Caenorhabditis elegans: one gene and its partners. The protein of the gene in region 1 interacts with the protein of each later gene in a pairwise test. Each region holds a gene or a part of one and is shown on either strand. Other genes may lie near its edges. The genes, in order: cdc-14, ndx-1, gtf-2E1 and memi-3.

The links.
Region 2: the proteins of cdc-14 (region 1) and ndx-1 interact in a two-hybrid assay, tested with the Caenorhabditis elegans proteins (one large-scale study listed by BioGRID).
Region 3: the proteins of cdc-14 (region 1) and gtf-2E1 interact in a two-hybrid assay, tested with the Caenorhabditis elegans proteins (one large-scale study listed by BioGRID).
Region 4: the proteins of cdc-14 (region 1) and memi-3 interact in a two-hybrid assay, tested with the Caenorhabditis elegans proteins (one large-scale study listed by BioGRID).

Annotation. Positions count from the first base shown.
Region 1 is NC_003280.10:5,588,674-5,595,089, reverse strand, and holds cdc-14 (Tyrosine-protein phosphatase cdc-14), read left to right. Parts: upstream 1-1,662; 5' UTR 1,663-1,716; coding exon 1,717-1,773; intron 1,774-1,830; coding exon 1,831-2,025; intron 2,026-2,074; coding exon 2,075-2,182; intron 2,183-2,252; coding exon 2,253-3,515; intron 3,516-3,604; coding exon 3,605-3,646; intron 3,647-4,105; coding exon 4,106-4,297; intron 4,298-4,478; coding exon of another isoform or gene 4,479-4,709; exon of another isoform or gene 4,710-5,142; intron 5,143-5,162; coding exon 5,163-5,435; 3' UTR 5,436-5,473; coding exon of another isoform or gene 5,474-5,497; 3' UTR 5,498-5,864; downstream 5,865-6,416. Other genes in the region: ttc-4 (Cns1/TTC4 wheel domain-containing protein), read right to left, coding at 1-17, 65-193, 247-354; C17G10.13 (THAP-type domain-containing protein), read left to right, coding at 6,082-6,155, 6,204-6,353, 6,401-6,416. UniProt on the Caenorhabditis elegans protein: Protein phosphatase that negatively regulates the G1-to-S phase transition to inhibit the cell cycle and establish quiescence in cells of multiple lineages including vulval, hypodermal and intestinal.
Region 2 is NC_003279.8:12,677,559-12,682,331, reverse strand, and holds ndx-1 (Putative nudix hydrolase 1), read right to left. Parts: upstream 3,126-4,773; 5' UTR 3,122-3,125; coding exon 3,016-3,121; intron 2,969-3,015; coding exon 2,891-2,968; intron 2,784-2,890; coding exon 2,701-2,783; intron 2,610-2,700; coding exon 2,402-2,609; intron 1,698-2,401; coding exon 1,607-1,697; intron 1,552-1,606; coding exon 1,405-1,551; intron 1,355-1,404; coding exon 1,222-1,354; intron 1,079-1,221; coding exon 918-1,078; intron 644-917; coding exon 553-643; 3' UTR 520-552; downstream 1-519. Other genes in the region: T26E3.10 (resistance to Congo red protein), read left to right, coding at 236-430. UniProt on the Caenorhabditis elegans protein: Probably mediates the hydrolysis of some nucleoside diphosphate derivatives.
Region 3 is NC_003282.8:17,253,346-17,258,101, reverse strand, and holds gtf-2E1 (HTH TFE/IIEalpha-type domain-containing protein), read right to left. Parts: upstream 2,802-4,756; 5' UTR 2,800-2,801; coding exon 2,734-2,799; intron 2,680-2,733; coding exon 2,623-2,679; intron 2,571-2,622; coding exon 2,472-2,570; intron 2,419-2,471; coding exon 2,270-2,418; intron 2,226-2,269; coding exon 2,147-2,225; intron 2,096-2,146; coding exon 1,986-2,095; intron 1,707-1,985; coding exon 1,419-1,706; intron 1,371-1,418; coding exon 1,269-1,370; intron 1,217-1,268; coding exon 865-1,216; 3' UTR 540-864; downstream 1-539. Other genes in the region: phyh-1 (phytanoyl-CoA dioxygenase), read left to right, coding at 1-55, 317-400, 453-509; eelo-2 (Peptidase M3A/M3B catalytic domain-containing protein), read right to left, coding at 3,349-3,444, 3,700-3,831, 3,931-4,218, 4,265-4,435, 4,485-4,603.
Region 4 is NC_003282.8:11,401,434-11,404,921, forward strand, and holds memi-3 (MEiosis-to-MItosis transition associated), read right to left. Parts: upstream 1,906-3,488; 5' UTR 1,905-1,905; coding exon 1,425-1,904; intron 1,378-1,424; coding exon 1,192-1,377; intron 1,143-1,191; coding exon 951-1,142; intron 901-950; coding exon 724-900; 3' UTR 512-723; downstream 1-511. Other genes in the region: his-65 (Histone H2A), read left to right, coding at 1-42; cyp-31A2 (CYtochrome P450 family), read left to right, coding at 2,539-2,631, 2,678-3,078, 3,122-3,218, 3,265-3,359, 3,408-3,488.

The DNA of each region.
Region 1 (6,416 bases):
TTATCGTATTTCATAGACTGAATATTTGTACGTATTAATTCGATATTATTATCCATTTACTTGCCTGTAAAGCTTCAATAGTGTCCTGATATTTTCCATCCGTGGGCATTTCTGTCATGAATGCAGGATGTTGATCAATCTCTTTGCACCAGTCATCGAAATCAAACGGTTTTCGTTCTTCTTTCTTATCAGACTGAAAATGTAAGATTTAATGTCACGATTGCAGAGATTTAAATATGAAATTACTTTTCTCGCAGCCATTTCTTCCATGAACTGATCTAGGTCGTCATCAAGTTTCTTCGCAAGGGCTGCTCGCTCTGACTCAGTGAATTTCTTCTTCTGGGGAAGATCCATTGGTGAATATTGATGATTCATTCTGAAAATTAACGTTTAAAATAAATATAAAACAAAGAGTAACCGAAAAGAATGCAGTTAAAACTTTATTTTCAGAAATTTTAGGAAATAAAAAAGAATGAGACGACACCAGTTTTAGGAATGCGATCTTGTGGAAAGCGGGTGTATGAACAAAAAACAACGCAAAAGAGTATATTTTTTTAGTTGTAAAATCTTTCAAGTTTAGCTTTTTGGCTTCAAAAAAAGTTTATTAATTGATCAATTACCCTAATCATAGTAAACAATTGTTTTTTTAAAGAAACATTGTTCTCAGGTTTTGCATTCTTCTAAAGTGAGTGGTCTCGACACACGCGCAAGTGCGCTCCGCTGAGAAAAATTACATTCAAAATTTATTTTTGTGTTTTTTTATTCATTTTTATTTTTCAACAATCTTTTCTTTTTCTCCTATTGTAAGACATTTTGCATAAAATATTATTTCAATATTTTTATAATTTAATGGAAATCTCCAATAAAAGAAGCCTTCTCTGCCATCAGCGGCAACAAAATTTCTCAAAATCTAGTTTTAAATATGAATAAATTTATAATTTAAATAGTAGATGCTAGAAACGTAATGAATTTCAGAAGAAAAAAATTTTAAATCTGTATGTTTTAAAATCTTATCAAATCCCAAATTTTGAATCATATTTTATAAGTATAAAATATAATTATAACTCTTAGTTGCATTTTTGAAACTGCCCAAAATATATATATAGTTCTCAAATTAATCCAATTTCTTATATCTTCATTGAATTCAACAAAATCGATTTCTTCTCCTTTTTAATAAAATTCAATTCTTCTTTTCTTTGTTAGTAACTTGTTCATTTTCTTTGTATAATAACCAATGCAATACTGCCCTACTGCAAACAAATTCAAACACAAGACAGTCAATGTGACTGAACAATTGGCACGCTGCCAAACCCCGCCAAAGTCTCTGCGTCACCTTCATTTCCCTACTGTTTCCTATTCTTTCTCAGGGCCAAGTGCATCATCATTCTGTGTGGGAGAGATCGGGAAGGGACACTCTCTGCGACTCGTGTTTATTTCTTCTCCCAGCAGCCCAACCCAATTGCATGTCACATTTTTCACATCATTACTCGACATCTTATCACCTAATCGATAAATTCTTAGAACTCTCCTTTTATTTTCGTACAGTACCCGAATTCCTCTATTTCTTATTTACCTCTATTCTCTTGCTTTCCGAGCAGCTGAGCCAACTTTCGTTTGTATTTATCTAGCCACACAGCACGAACACAATCGTTTTTTTATTGCAGGCGCTACGGAATGTGCTAGTAGAGGCAGAACCATATAATAGTAATAAAAAAAATGAGAGAAGACCACTCCCCACGTCGTAACAATACAATTGAAAATACTTTGACAGAAGTGAGTTGTTCATTTTAAAATGTTTGAAAATCTGAAAATAATATATTTTAATTTCAGTTGCTACCCAATCGACTTTATTTCGGTTGCTTTCCCAATCCTGATGCTATCGACAAATCAGATAAATCAGTAAAGAAAACTTGCTTCATCAATATCAACAACAAGTTTCATTACGAACCTTTTTACGAGGATTTTGGTCCATGGAATCTTTCAGTTCTCTATCGATTATGTGTCCAAGTAGGCAAACTGCTAGAGGTGAGCTCATTCCAAGATTGATGATAGATTAGATAACACACTCGTTTAGGTCGAAGAAAAGCGAAGCCGACGAGTGGTGCTTTTTTGTCAGGATGATGGGACAGGGCAATATGACAAAATACGAGTAAATACTGCCTATGTACTCGGAGCATATCTGGTAAGTTAATGACAGAAATGTATATTTTCTAAAAATTCTTGATCTCTAAAATAATGAAAATGTATTTCAGATAATCTATCAAGGATTCTCTGCCGACGATGCATATTTGAAAGTGTCTTCCGGAGAAACTGTAAAATTTGTTGGATTCCGTGATGCCTCTATGGGATCACCTCAATATCTTCTCCATTTGCATGATGTTTTGCGAGGAATCGAAAAAGCATTGAAATTTGGATGGCTCGACTTCTCAGACTTTGACTATGAGGAATATGAGTTTTATGAGCGCGTTGAGAATGGAGATTTCAATTGGATTATCCCAGGAAAAATTCTAAGTTTCTGCGGGCCTCATAATGAAAGCCGCGAGGAGAACGGGTATCCGTATCATGCTCCAGATGTTTATTTCGACTACTTCCGTGAGAACAAAGTTTCAACAATTGTTCGGTTGAATGCAAAAAACTATGATGCTTCGAAGTTCACAAAAGCCGGATTTGATCATGTTGACTTATTCTTCATAGATGGAAGTACACCTTCTGATGAAATCATGCTGAAATTTATAAAAGTTGTTGATAATACAAAAGGAGGAGTCGCTGTTCACTGCAAAGCAGGTCTCGGGAGAACTGGGACTTTGATCGCTTGTTGGATGATGAAAGAGTATGGATTGACTGCTGGAGAGTGTATGGGTTGGCTACGTGTATGTCGACCTGGCTCAGTTATCGGACCACAACAACCTTATCTCATTGAGAAACAAAAGTTCTGTTGGTCACTGTCCCAATCAAATGGTGTTCATCTTACTCAAAACAAAGAAGAAAAAAGAAATGTACGACGTCTTGTTAATCAAGTGGATGATATAAATTTAGGAGAAGAAAGGATATCTCCGAAAAGTCGAGAAAACACTCGTCCAAATATCCTTCGAAGGCGTGTGCAAGTTCAAAATGGAAGGTCAACTGCTCCAGTAACAATAGCCCCTGCTGGAACATCCGAATCTAGAAGATCCACTAAACCATCTCGTGTCGTCGATGAGACTGCTCTAGACGATCAAGGAAGATCACAAGGCGACCGACTTCTACAATTGAAAGCCAAGCATCAACACGAATCAGAGACAACAAGTCCCAACAGTTCCTCGAGTCGGAGATTTGTCAAAAGTTCAACACCACAAATGACTGTTCCGAGCCAAGCATATTTGAATCGAAATCGTGAACCAATTATTGTCACACCGTCAAAAAATGGAACATCATCTGGAACGAGTAGCCGTCAGTTAAAAACAACACCAAATGGAAATGTTGCTTATCGAACTAGAAATTCATCAGGAAATACCACGTCAACTCTTACTAGAACTGTAAGTTATAAACAAACTTGGTATATTAAAAATGAGCTCTCATTCAACGCCAGAAAGTTTTAGTTTAGCCATAAACAAAACAGTTTCAGGGAAACGAGAGCTACAGATTCCACAACTCGTTGTTCTACGAGGTATAACTCTCACTCATTGTGTGCTCAAACCATTTTCTTTTTTCCCAAACAATTTGCTTTCAGTTTAAACGTGGTGTGAAATATTTTAGAGTTGCTTTATTCCTAATCCCTCATCATACCATTGTTTTAGATTACCATAATCAATTGAGATATTACTCAGATGCAAAATTCTGTGGTTTTTGCGGCAAAAATATCGTGCCCGGTCTCGACACGACAATTTTTTTAAATGCAAAAGAGCATGCGCCTTTAATAGAGTACTGTAATTTCAATCTCACGCTGCTGCGGAATTTCGTCGATTTTTCCGCAATAACGAACATTTAAAATTACAGTACTCTTTACGCCGTTGTGCGCACGCCTTTGTGCCGAAACCGGGTACCGTATTTTCTGAGCAAAAATTTCAATTTTCTGCGCCTTTGTAATATTCAATATTTTCATTAATTTATTTTTCTTTTTTTTCAGCCAGCATCTGCTGTATTCCCGTCAATGGCATCTCGAAGAAGTGAGACCACACGATACTTGTCACCGACTACACCAATAAAACCAATGTCCCCTTCATATACCGATGGAACCAGCCCCCGCTATAAGGCGAGACTCCGATCTGAAAATCCAATTGGAAGTACCACATCTACTCCATTCAGCCTTCAACCACAGGTGAGTAATTGGGGAAACTAAATTAGATAGATACATTGAAATTAAATCTTCTCAAAATTCTGCATGATAATTTATTTGGTTAATTCTTCCCACTTGCATGCTCCTTCTTAAAAGGACCATAATCACATCCCCGTTATTTATTTTAAATATCGTGACGTGGCAGTGTTGTATCTCGTTGCAGTTTGGTCTTGTTCGAGTGCCTCCTGATTCACCGCATAGTATAATGGCTCATCGTCCACCACCGACAACGTCGTCTCGAGCTCCACTTTCTCCACATAACTATTCAACAACTCAAGGATATTCGACATCGTCTCGTGGATTATACGGAGACAAGAAACCATTGGCACGTGGATCGGTTTCCACTTCAACATTACCGTCAATGTATATGACAAGAAGTTGTGAGCGGAAATGATGAATGTACACACTACCGTATCCCTACTCCTCTCACATTGCTACTCTCAATTCATTCAATCATTTTGTTGCCTTTTCTATCATCTTATCCGAGCCTACGGTACAGACAGTTTTTTATTTCGGGTGAACTTTGAAACTTTCTGAACTATATAAATTCAAGGCTGTTCCTGTAAATACCAAAAATTGAAGAATTTCTGTACAACGAACAAGATAGCTGCTCTTGCTCTAAAAATCAAATCTCGATATTGTCTACTAAAACCGTGCTCTTTTTTATTACACATTCTGTATGCTTTTCTTAGTTTGTCACGTGTGCTCATGTTGCTCCTTTTACATTTTGCTCTTGTTAATTGTCGTACTACATTCCATTTTATAGCATCTAACCTTCCTATTTGAATTTTGAACAGATTTAATAAACCTCTTTTTAAAAAAATCTATTCTTTCTTCATCGTTCCAGATAACCAAATGCTCTTTGACTGCTGAAAGCAAGCCACCAAAGCGGATACTCTCAATGCCAGGGACTTCTAAATCTACGTCCTCTCTCAAAAAAATTCAAGTCTCCCGACCAAGACCGTATCCATCAACAGGGGTTCGTGTAGAGCTATGTGCCAATGGGAAAAGCTATGATATTAGACCAAGGAAAGAAGCTCACGTTATTCCTGGAGCTGGTCTCGCAGCGAATACAGAAGCTCTTTTAGGGGTATGTAAACTTGTGAACACTTTGAGTTAGAACTTCATCAAGAAATATTAAGGCTCAATTTTTTACAGAAAAGAAGAAAAACTGCCTCGTAATTCGTAAGAACGACATCGAAATCAGATAAACTCTCAACTTCTCATAATTTTTCAAATTTCATAATATTCACTAGTTCTCAAACTTTTATCCTATTTCTAAAATACAGCTCCCAGCAAGCGATTGACATTTTACCTTGTCTAGTCCTTTCTCCGATAATAATGCCATAATATTACATCTGCCTTTACAAACCTTAGCTTTCAAACTTGTCGATCGAACGACTTTTGTATTCATGAATTAATCATTGTATGTATATTCAAAAAACTGTATCATAGTGCATGCCAACTGACGCAGGCGTCGAAAAATTTTATGTATTATTGATGGTTTCATTGCTTTATTCACTTTATTCATTGGAAAATTGTAAAATTATTGCTTGATTATAAATCCTAATAAATCTCGAAAAAAGTGTGCGGCGATATTGCAGTGGGCGGAGTTTCAGAATATTCAGTTTTAAATTTTGATATAATTTTTCTCTTTTGATTTCCGAAAATTGAGCGTTTTCTTTTAAATTCTATTTTTCAGATGCTAGAAAATAATAAATAAATATTTTTATAATTTTTTAATGTACAAAATTTATGTTTCAGAAATGTCTGAAAATGGCGCAGTGGAGGTAGAAATTACAACATCGTATGTCGAAGATAGGAAAGCCGCGGAACAAATGTAATATTCTGAGTATTCGGTCATAAAAATTTAAATCTAAAATTTCAGAGATCCCTCGTCAACACCACCAGAACCAAAAAGACGTTTCGTGCTGGTTTCTCGAAAAATTGTCTCAAAAGAGGTACCATCTGCCGGCCCTACGTGCAGCAATGATCCACGATTGAATTATGCGAGTACTAGAAAGCTTCCGATCAAAATGTATTTAAAAAAGCGTTGAATATTGACTTTGAAAACTTTTTTTCCAGCAGCCATCGTTTGTGC
Region 2 (4,773 bases), on another chromosome or scaffold:
ATAATTAGTCTAATATCATATAAACTTGAAAAAAAACGTTGCCACGGTGGGGACTCGAACCCCGGTCATTTGATTGGAAAAGGCTTTCGGCGAAAATCCCACTGCGCCATTCGAACACTTTTTAAAAAATGATTGAAAATCAAAATTTCTTGTAATTTTTGAAACTTCGAGCAATTTTGAGCAATTTTCGTTAATTTTGAGTTGAGAAATCATGTTTTTAACCGATTTTTTTCAGATCTACATGTGCCTTGTCGGTATGGCAAAAAAACGGCGATTAGCTGCACAAGCACCGATATTCGATTTCGACGAAGGAAATACAGATATTCTGCGAAAAACCTCGGAGTTACCGGATCTTCAGCCCCCGCCTGCATATGACGTGCTCCAAGAGCCACCTCCACCAACTTATAGCTCTTTGTTAAGGAGTCAGTGATCTCAATTTTTGAAAAAAATGATTTTTTCAAATGTATGTAATAAACTAATATTGAGAGTTGGTCTTTAGAAAATTAAAAAAAAAATAATTTTTCAAATGTTTATTCAAGAAAACCAAAAGCATTAAAGCATATGAAGTGACGGCCGGAATTGCTTCTGAGCCATGTGAAATCGCTGTCGTGTCTCCGGTGATTCGACGGATATCCAGTGATACCTGAAATTTCGGGATTATTTTATTTTTCAATTATTTCCAATAAGACTTCAGGTAGAACAAATATATGAACTTCTCTTTAAAAAAAACGGTTTAAAATCGATTTTTGAAAAAGAAAATTGTCGAAAATGTCCAAATGACGCAGTGGAATTTTCGACAAGAACCTTTTATAATCAAACTACCTGGGTTCGAGTCCCCACTGTGGCACTTTCTTTTTTCAAAGTTTTATCAGACTAATTAAAAGTAATTAAAAGGTTTTTAATTCAAAATGTCTCACCGCGGACTCCGAATGATGGCTTTTGAAGCGGATTGCTTGTGCTCGCAGTAAACCCTTATTGAGACTCCGTGCGCCAGGGATTCCATTGGTTTTGGGTGGCATTTTATCCGCGTCACGTGAGACGGTGTAAATACTACATTGGCACCTTCTTCGAGCAAATGCTGAAAATTTGTAGGATCAGAAGAAAACTGAAATTCGTGAACCGAGCCGGCTAAGACTAAGCCTTAGCCTAAGTTTAAGTCTAAGTTTAAGCCTATGTTTAAGCCTAGACCTAAGCCTAATTTTTTTTACAAATCACGCTCACCCTATAACACTTGGATACAACCATCGCAAAGAAGTACTCGAACCCAAATTCCACCGTTGGGAATGGCTGTTCCTCTTCCAGCAGGTACGTCTCGTCCTTGATCGACTTGTGCACGAGCACCTCGGTTCGGAGCCTGAATAAACCTTTTTTTAGTGAATTTTCCCTCGCAGCTAAGACCCTTACCCATCCCTAGAGTGCTTGACAATCATAAACTCCAAAAATAATCCAGCAACGTTTTGATTTAACGGCATTACACGTGGAATAGAATCGACGGGGCCGTGTGTTCGGTATGTGACGGCCTCGTCGACTAGTCGGATGAAATCTCGGCCTCTGTAAAAAAAAATTGGTTTCAAAATTTAGGATCGAAAAAAAAAATTTCAGATACCTTAACTGAACCTTGTTGGCTTTGAGATCCTTGATGTTATACCACTCTGCGGCTAGGGATTCCTGATCGGGTTCTGTTTTCAGGTCACCGCCTGGAAAAATACAAATTCAGAAAATGGAATTTGAAAATGCTTTTAAAAAAATTTTTAACCTTTTTATAGCGTATTTCAAAAAAATTGTGCACGTGGCGCAGTGGGATTTTCGATGAAACCCCTTTCAATTGGGAGACCGTGGTTCGAGTCCCCACAGTGGTAAATTCTTTCTTCAAAGCTTCGTTTGGCTAATTCACGTGGTATCAGGGTGTCTGGCTTCATCTACGTATTTCTACAAAAAATGCGGGAGAAGAGACGCAGCCTTTCAAGTGATTTTGTCTGTTTAAGAACGTGCTGACTTCATTTTTTTTGGGCAAAAAAATCCCGCACTTTTTGTAGATCGAACCGTGATGGGACTGCCTGACACCATGTGCTAATTCAAGTGCGTTGAGATGAGAAATCATAGCTATATTCACTGAAAACGTTTCAAAATATCACGCTCATAGTGGTGAGGGTTTAATTTTGAAACATTTAGAGCAAAACTAACAGAATTGGGTCTAAAGGTACGAATTTTGCTCAAAAGTTGTAAATTAGGTAAAAAATTCAAAAATTGTGGTCAAAATTTGCAGAATTTAGTTCAAATTTCTACAAATAAAATGCCTGAACCTGAGAGTTTTTGGCGGGAAATTCAAATTTTTAAGGAACATTTTTGGCGAAAATTCAAATTTTTAATAGAAAAATAAATAAGCTCACTGAGTTCTCACCTGTAATATTACAATAAAAAGCATATCGATACCATCCGGATCCTTGAACTTGTAGTGACAGGAGTTCCACAACATCACAACTGTACCCAGTCTCCTCTTTAACCTCTCGTACCACTGCTTCTTCAATTGTCTCACCAGCTTCTACCCGTCCGGCAGGCATATACCATTTCCCACGACAACTTTTCTTGGCCTCTTGGATTAGGAGCACCTGGAAATTTGAATTTTATAAAAAATCATTTTTTGGGCTGAGCTACTAAAGCTTTTTCGTTTCGAGACCCATCGCCGCAAATAAAAATTACCTCTGTGTCGTCTCCCTGGTTCCGTAGAATAATTGCAGCAGCGACATAGTTTACATTGTCATGTAACCTTACATAGCGACATTCTGGAATATTTAGGTTTTTAAAAATTTGTTTTTTTTTATTATTTTTTTTTCATTCAAAAAGGTTTTTCAAGTATCAAATTTACAACAAAAAACCTTGAAAAACTCACTGCCCAACTGCATATCCGGCACCCTTGGCTCATTTTTCTTCTTCGCAACTGCCCCATTTGTGTGACCATTCAAGTTTTCTGGAAACTTCTATAATTTCCAGATTCCTATCAGTTCAAAGGCTTACCAACTACAGAATCACCATTTCCCATAAGCCGGGAGGCTTCTGGCGTGTGATCTCCGCTTTCGGCGATGTACTCCTCTTCGACTAGGTCCAACTTTCCAAGTGGCATTTTTCTGGAATAAAAATTGGTAAAACTGATATATCTGACGAAATTTTTACAAGAAAATGGTTCCGAAACGCGAAAAAATTTTTTGACAAAAAAGTGCACGGATGGTGTAGTGGGATTCTGGAGGAGTTGGTAATCTCAAGACCGGGGTTCAAGTCCCCACGGTGGCAAATTATTTTTTCAGTTTTTTTATTAAACTAATAAGGGTTTTTTGTGCAATATATTAGTTTTTTGACATTTTTAAAGAATTTTTTTTTTGGAAAAAATTTTACTTTTGTTTTTTGAATTTTTTTAAACAATTTTTTTAAAGTTTTTGGATTTTTAAAAATTTTTTGCAGTGGCTTAAAATCAATATCAATCCTATGAAAATGTTTAGAAATCGTTTTTAAAAACTCCTTCCAACGAAAAACGTATACGAACACCCAAACAAATACACACAATTGAAACGTTTTGGAAAACGATACATTGAGATACGCAGAGATAAAAAGGGCAAAATGCAACGGGCGGAACATCTTTATTAACTGGGCAATGAACTGCGCGAAAACTAGGGTGACGAGATGGGGCACGGCGATTAGAGGGAGAAAACGCCGGGATTGACTGGGAAAATGAGGCGGCGAGGTTTAAAACGGTCTGAAAAAAGGTTCAAAACCAGTTTTTACCAAAAATTTGGGTCATATTACAAAATTTCAGAAAATGTACGAATGGCGCAGTGGGATTTTGGATAGCTTCCAATCTCAACGCCGGGGTTCGAACCCCCGCTGTGGCAAATATTTTTATTGGCTTTTTTAAGCAGTTTTTAATGGCGAGATCAACATTTTGCATGTGTATAGCAGGAATTTCTTAGGATATCGTTGGTTTGGAGGGTGGGTCAAGTACCTTTTGTAGTATCAAATGTCTTCTATAGCTTCCGGTATAAATGACATAGGCTTTCTGAGCATCATAAATTGGAACACATGGTACATAGAGGAAATTATATTTTAGAAAAGAGTGAAAAATTGGTGTCATCTACCGGAGTCGAACCCCGGTGTTGTGATTGGTAGTTTTGGAAAATCCAACTGAGCCATTCGAGCGAAATTTTTAAAGTGTTCAAAAATGACTTAAACTTCAAAAAATTAACATAACTATTAATATTTAGAAAATTTCAGACTATTTGTAATCCCTGTGATCCAAAAATTCCCTCTTGATTCCGGCGAAAACTTGCAAAAGTGCACAAATCGAGAAAACCAAGGAATAGTATATGCTTGCAAGTATGCACACACAACGAAATGCAAACAAATCCATTAAATGGCGTCGTGGGGGCCCTCTCCCCGCCACATTGGAAGGCGGCTGGGTGACTAAAAAGAGCCCCTCCCGCGCCTTTTTGTTTTCTCTGACCTATTTGGAAATGGGGGTAGAGACGCAGAAAAACATGTTTTTCGAATTGAAATTGCACATTGAGCACTTTGTGAGAAAGGATTTTAATTGTCGGAGGTTTGAGCCAAAAATTGGCAGTTTTGGAAAACCAGTTTTCGGTTTTTCTTCATATTCAGATTGTGAGTCTATGATTTTCGAATTCAGCACTATCGAATTAGTCTAGTCACATTAAAAAAAAATTATTAAAAAAGGTGCCACGGTGGGGACTCGAACCCTGGTCTTGAGATTGGTAGATATGAAAA
Region 3 (4,756 bases), on another chromosome or scaffold:
CTACGCGAACTATGATCATACGAAGTACATTGATGTCAAGGGAACCGCTCAAGAGGTGTGAGAGTGCGATAGAGCGCGCTTGGGGGTTGATCTCCAAACCCGCGCTTTACCATTAGAGCGTGGTTGCATTTTTTGAATGCAAAGCTTTGAGATCTTTAATGCAAAGCTTTGAGATCTTTAAAGATCTTTAACAAAAATTTCGAGTTTCTAATGTAATTTATTAGATCCTTCTGAATTTTCTTGAAAATCCTAAAAGAAACATTGGCGATGCAATATTTTCCTGTCAATGGCCTAACTTTTTAATTTTCTCTTCCAGGAAGCCGGCAAACAGATTGAGGACATCATCCGTAAGCATCCAAAGAGATATGCCGTGAAACCGGGACAGGAGGTCACTTTCGAGGTTTGTCATTTGAAAATTTAAATTCCCGCCAGTCAATATCGCTTTTTTCCAGCTCACCTGGCGTCTGCGCTCTCGTCCAGTCCATCATGACGGCAAAGAAAATCTGTAAATGATAACCAAACGTTCAAACTCGATTTCTCAATCTCGCGAAATAAAGTTTCATTTTTGAAATGTACTCGAATAAATGGTGTAAAATGATGAGAGTAAAACAACACAATCATAATAATATTATTTTTAAAACAATAGTAAATTTCTGGAACGAGAAAAAAAATAAAAAAGGATTTGAACCGTGATGAAATGATGATGAAACAGGTGAAAAACTAGAGGGAATGGTAGGGGAAAATATAAAAATTTCAAGGCAATTTGTCATTTTGACGGTATTAGGAGAATTGGAGAGTAAACAATCCTCTATACCATCCTAGACATCACTAAATTTTGGCGGTAATATCTCAAAAAACCGAGACTTAATGAATAGCAATTTGTTGAGAAAAGAACATTGCAAAAAGATCCTGCACAACACTGCAATAGCTCTCCTTCTCCAGCTCACTCATCTCGTTCTCGACCATTCGAGGTGTGATTTGGCTCAGCGGAAGTGCTCGCCCCGCCACGTGGATCAAGTCTTCCTCCTCACTTTCGTCGTTGTCAACTTCCATTTTGATAGCTTCCTCGTCGACTTCCATCTTTATTTGCTTGGCAGGTGGCTCTTCAATTTTGACATTTGGAGCAGATTCCTCCGAACTGCACTCAATCTCCTTCAGATAGTCCAGAGATGGTCCATAACGTCGCTGTTTCGTTGATGTTTCTTCTTCCTCGGTTCTGAAAAAAGGTTTCATTGTTGAAATATAAAAGTTAAGCCATTTAAAAGTACTTGGCCTGATCCAGTACATGCTCATTGTGTGAAGCTTCACCACCGCCTATTGCATTATCCTTGAGCCATTCTGGCATAATTTTGGCTTCTTCCACAGGACCCCTGAAATATTAAGAATCAAAGTTTATTTTTCTACTTATGGCCACTAACTTATTAATATCCGCATTTAAATCCACAAAAACTGCATCTCCATTCTGATAATTGATCGAAGCGATATTTTGATAAGAATGAGCGACTCCTCCCAACTGTATCCGTCCACCACCACCTCCACCCGACGTAAAGTCCATTTGTTGTTGCTGTAGTTGCAGTTCTTTGTCATCTTCCAAATATTTCGTGATATCCGGTTCAAGGAGATGCGGAGCCAATTGGATACCGTTTAGAGCACAAATATGAGAGAAGAGCGGTGTCATTTGTTCGTTGAAGCGTGCCACAGCGGTTCTGGAAATTTAAAAAATAAAAAAAAATATATATGCAGATACAGTAACCCGAAGTTTTTTTTTGAAAGGAGACCCTAAACAGTAAAATTTCATCAATTTTTTGGAGCTCAAAATTGCAAAAAATTTTAGAGTACTGTAGATTTAATTTAACAAATTCAAAAATCTGTCAATTTGAAAATTTTTCAATTCGTCGCTTTGAGCTCGATCAGAATTCATAATAATTTTCGCTTCAGAACCCAGAAATTTCCGAATTTTCAGATTTTCAGGATATTCCAAGTACCTCGTCGTCCTCGATGGTACTACCGTCTCATCCGCCAACACATCTCCGTGGCACCGCCAGCAAATAAGCCGCCCGCTTTCAGCGTCCAATATCCGATTGATTTCCAGCATCTAAATATGATTTTTTCAGAGAATTCTTCTATTTTAAAAGAATTTTCTCACATCATAAGAACTCTGACACGCTCCACATCGATAGTGAGCTCGATTTGTGTCCATTTGCTCTCGGGACTCGAGTTTTTGTCTGGAAAATTTTAAACTTTCAGTGAAAAAATTATATTTTCACACCTCATGTGATCGATTTTGTAGCGCACCACGTTGAGCACAGCCCGATAGTTTATATAGTAGAAAATGATGGAAACCGTTCGATTATTCTCGTTTTTCTGCGTAATCGTGCGCTCTTTCACGAGTTTTTCAGCTTTCAGAGACGCGAGGAGCTGAAATTGTCAAATTTTTTGAATTTTCGAATTTCAAGCAAGTTTCAGCACACCTGTCTGAGCATTTTCTGATCGAATTGTATTCGGGCTTTGAGATTTTCCTCGCGAATGCACTGGGCTCGCATTATGTGGTAGACGATGATAAAGTGCTCCTGGAAAATTAAAAATTCAAGAATTTTTTGAAAAATCAGATTTTTCGCTTACACTTGAGAAGAAGTTCTTTACCACCATCAGCAATATAGTGTTGAGTGCCTCCGGAATCTGAAAAAGACGGTTTTTAGTCAGATTTAGTGGGTTTTTTCGCGGAAATGTTACCTCATCCACCACTTGGGTCTCGGTGTGAGCCGATGATGAGCCGGAGGTCGCTGGGCCAGATGACATGCCTGGAAAAATTTAGTTTTTGGAATAAATTTTAATTTTTGATCAATAAATTATAATTTTTGTTCAAAAAAGTGAGCAAAATTTAAATTAAAAATAATTCAGCTCAAAAATATCCAAAAAAAAAATGGAATAATCGTTTTTTTTTTAATTTCCAAAAAAAAGTAAAAATTTCAAAAATTGGTTTTAAAAAAATAACACAATGTCCTGGAAAAGGTAATTTTCAAAAACAAATTCAATTTTTTTCCTGTTAAATAAAAAACATAAACATTTTTTTCAATTTCAAAACAAAAATATTTCAATCGTTGGAAAACGATATCTCAAAAAACGATAAATTTTCAAAAAGAAAAGAATTCATTACTGAAGTAAAACAAAAATTAAAAATGAGGGGAAAAACATTAAATAACAGAGAACAATCTATGAGACCCTATTTCTTCTTAAGACTATCAAAAAAATATAACAAAAACAGAAAAAAAATCATCTAAACATATGTGAAAACCCGGTGAGAAGCGAAAAAGAGATGGAAAATCTCCAAAAACCGGGGGGGAATTTTCATCGTCTCTGATTCTCCGACATTTCCATTTCATCTTGAATGGCCATTGGTGGGGCGTAGTGATCACAGATGGCTCCGACTGATGGATTTCGGCCCTGAAAAAATGGAAATGAATATTTTTCTTTAAAAAAAATTAAATAATGGCTTCATTTTTCTGGAATTTAAAAAATGAAAGTAATTGTTTGGAACTCTTTTAGAATTCTTCTTGTAAAAATAGAGTTCAATTAAAGCGTTCTAATTTTAAAAAAATACGATTTTTTGAGATTTTTCCATGCAGAATTTAAGATTTTCAGCTTATTTTAATGCCGTTTTTCACCAATTTTTCAGTCAAAAAAAGAAGATTCCCCTACCTGGAATCTTTTGAACAATTCCTTCGCAACATCTCCACTTCCTCTATTCAATATTGTCGTTTTCAATCGTTCTCCCGTTTGCACTTCATTGTCTTCCTCGTCAAATGTCTCATGGATATCTAAGGCGAGCATCTGGAAATTGAGCCAATTTTCAGAAATAATTGAGATAATTTTTTTTAAAAGTATTTATCAAAATTCTGATGATTTTCTAACACTGGAAAACCACCTCACCTCAGCCCACAGCTTCCTATAATACATGCTCATATGTGGTTGAAGAGCAAAAATCGGTGTGAATGAGCACGGTTGATAGTCATTTTTGGCTCTTTTGAACGGGAAATACTCCTCATACATTTGTTTGTACATATCCAGCCAGAACTTTTGCTTCCTGTCCTCCATCTCGTAAATCGACAGATCAAAGTCCGACCAGAAGAGGGTACGGTAGGTTTCCCAGAGTGATGCTCGTGAGATCGTAAGAGCCACCGAGTTTGCGTGCTCTTCGGTCAACGATTGCTTTGTGATCTGAAACAGAAATTCAGACATTTCAAGAATTTTCGACTAAAAATACCTGATGCGGAGAGCTAATTGTTGCAAGGAGATTGGGCTTCGTGACGAACATTTGCAAGAATGTTGGGAACATGTCAGCTGCATCCCAGTCAGATGCGTAGAATGGAGACCATGGAATTGAAATATCACGGTATGGAGATTGTGATAGAAGAAGCTGCACACTTCGGCCAAACTGGAAATTTCGAAAATTTAAATTCAAACCCAAAATTTCGACTACTGACATGGAAAAGAAGTTGCTGAAGCTGCTGGTGATGGAGAAGAGACGGTCCGTTGGAAGTTGGAGCAATTGCTGAGCCGATGAAGTACACAATCTTGTCGAGACCTCGTTCTTTGGATTCCGCTGGAAATATATTTGTTAACTAACCTGTGTTGTTTTTTGCAGTTATTTTTGAACAGAATTTATTCTATTAACGTTTTTCGAAAGAATTTTTTTGCAAAAATAATTTGAAAAAAAAGCCAGATAGTCTGAAACGAGGAGAATTTTTTCCTCTAA
Region 4 (3,488 bases), on another chromosome or scaffold:
GCCGTTCTTCTCCCAAAGAAGACTGGAGGAGATAAGGAGTAAGAACTTTCTTCTTTAAACAAACCCACCGAACCCAACGGCCCTCTTTAGGGCCACAAATATAAAAAATCCTAAAGATATTTCATATTACATTTATTTTGAATAATATGTTTGCTTGAATTCAATCAGTATTACTGTCAATAAGTTTTCACATGTTTTCGAGCCAAGATATCGGTCAGGAAACGACATTTAGAAATTGCAGAATTATGATCACTATGTAATGTGGCCAATTGCCTATCAAGCCTCAAGTATCGAAAAGTTGCATGTCGCAAGCTGGAATTGCCAGCGTTTTCAGAAATTTGCGTTCATTAATTCTAATTTCGAATTCATCTTTTTAGGCTGGAGGCATCTTCCATATCGTAAATCATTGTACCCGGCTGTATAAAAATTTTGATATCTGAAACCAGAAAATTATCAGCTTATCAGAAGAATTTAATTTGAAAAATTTTTCAGAGTCATGTTAAAAAGATTTTTTAAATCAACCAGTTCATGATTTGGTAAAGTTAATTCAAGCAATATACATGTTGAACATAAACAAAATATTCGAGGGTCATGGTGAGTTGGAGGAATGGAAAATAAAATAGGGGAAAGTTAGTTGATATATTTAACAGGAACCACTTAGTTATTCAGATAGATATATACAAAAACTTATGCACATTATAACTAATTATTGGACAAATGAATTCACTCTTCATCCAGTTCGAATGTTTCGAGGAACGAGATTAGGTCGTCGACAAGCACCATTCCATTTCTCAACGAGACCATATCGTTTTCGACCTCGAATTCATGAAATTCGACTGGCTCTTCGACAATCTGCACTCGTCGGTTCATGCACTTCACCGTTTGCTCCAATTCGATGTACTGAAAACGTTATAAATTGGAAACCGATAAATTATTGCTATTCAACTCACTCTATATCTCCGGAAAGGATCCCTGGCGCTCGAGTTGTTATTGTACACGATCCTCGTTTCCACGTGGCGCTTTCCTCGAATCGAACACGTGATTGATGCAGTCGAGGCCATCAGTCGGCCTTGTGAATCGAGTCCTGGCTCGAGATTTCCGTATTCCCGGCAGTTTGTTGTTCGCAGGCGACGAGTGGTAGTCTGAAATATGAAAAGTTATCGGTGTGAAATAGAAAACTATTTTACGTACACTCTTGCTCTGTGATCGGATCAATGTTGCCACCACAAAGCTGTCTGTCATCTGGAAGCCTTCGATTTCCATCTCCAGTTTTTCGAGAATTGCAAACAATTGCTGGAACGGCATTGCAGTCTTTGCCTGGATCGCAAATCGAACCACATTTTGACCCGTCTCTTTCGGCTCGGCCAGGAGGGAAGTCTGAAATAAAAAAATTTTTTTGGGAAAAATATACTCAAGAAACTAACTAGAATCAGACTGGAGATATCTTCGGCCGAAAGCATGCGGCACTGAGCGGCGAAATAGTGTGGTCGCTGGTTCGGATGAAGGAGCACGTGCTCGACAAGCGCTTTCTCCGATTCTCTGGTCGTGTTGAACCATCTTTGCGAGAAGAAGTCGTAGCGCTTGAGACGGAGATTTTCAATCGGCATTGTTTGAATGTCTCTTAGCACTTTGACAGCTTCATCGCGGATGATTGCCTTGCTCGGCTTCTTGTCGACGAGCTTTGGAGTTTCATCGATACGATGCAGGGAACGGTAGTTCTTATCCTCGACGAGCTCCACGTCTTCTCCATGCCCTTCGATAATTGCATCATGATTGATGTTGGGTTGTGGTGGGAGGGCTGAGCAACCGGCTCGAGCGGTTTCCAATTGATATTCATCGGTGTAGTTGGCCACGTATTTGGTCGCCGTCAATTCGCGAAGAACGGTACGGGACGGAGCTGACATTCTAAAAAACGTTGGTTTGAAAAATTAATGGAAAAATAAGAATTCGAAGCAAAAATTAAAGATAAAACTTTAAAAAAAACAATGTACTCAAGTGATTAACAGATTAATAATGCTTCACCGATAAAACAATATTTATGAAATTTCATTACGGCTCTCTGAACATCAGCAAAGTAGAAGAATGTTCACAATCAAAAATTTTCGTTGGGCCTAAAATAACACAATTGTTGCGCTGACTTTTCGCGGGGGAGATCGAATAGGTCAAATAGGCGATGCATTCATAAAAAGTACAATACTTATTGAAAAATAATTTTGGATTTGTTTTCTTTTTTTTTTGTTGAAAAATTAACGCGATTGAAAGTTTTTAATCATTAAATCAAGATTTAAATATCATGATATATCAGAAAACAACAAAAATCAGTTTTAGAATTTTTTTGAGCCTACCGTACTCTTTAAAGGCGCATGGCGATTTTCAGATGGGTCTCACTACGACATGCGTGAAATTTGAATGTTGATTCAAAAACTGTTCGTTTTTTTTCTTTTTTTAGAACCAAAGCTTAACAAACGCTTTTTCTCATGTTTTAAACGCGTTTTGCTCGTTTCTTCGCACAAATAAATTATTTCAGAAGGTTTTGCAATGGGGGTCATCATCCCCGCTGTACTTCTCGCTATGGCGACTGTGATCGCTTGGCTTCTCTACAAACATTTGAGAATGCGTCAAGTTTTGAAGGTCAGATTGCAAAATGCATTCAAAGATAACTCAAATAAATTTCCAGCACCTCAATCAGCCACGATCATATCCAATCGTTGGTCACGGACTCATCACCAAGCCCGATCCAGAGGGATTCATGAACCAAGTGATTGGAATGGGATATTTGTATCCAGATCCACGGATGTGTCTTCTCTGGATTGGCCCATTTCCATGTCTGATGCTCTACTCTGCCGATCTTGTTGAACCAATTTTCTCATCGACGAAACATCTGAACAAAGGGTTCGCATACGTTTTGCTCGAGCCATGGCTTGGAATCAGTATTTTGACGAGCCAAAAGGAACAATGGCGTCCAAAACGAAAACTATTGACACCAACATTCCATTATGATATTCTCAAGGATTTTTTGCCGATTTTTAACGAGCAATCAAAGATTTTGGTTCAGAAATTGTGTTGCCTCGGAGCAGAGTAAGAATTTTAATTGATAACTCGTTCAAATGTTTCTTTTCAGTGAAGAAGTTGATGTTCTCTCCGTTATAACCCTTTGCACTCTTGACATCATTTGCGAAACCTCTATGGGGAAAGCTATTGGTGCTCAACTCGCGGAGGTTGGGTAAACAACTCGAATCTCAAAATTTCTAAATACTTTTTCAGAATAACGAGTATGTATGGGCGGTGCACACAATCAATAAACTGATTTCAAAAAGAACAAATAATCCGTTGATGTGGAATTCATTTATTTATAATTTGTACGGTAGTTTTATCATTAATAAGGTGAATTAATTTGTAATTTTCAGAACAGAGGACGGACGGACTCATGAAAAATGTCTTCGTATTCTCCATGATTTCACAAAGAAAGTGATTGTCGAGAGAAAGGA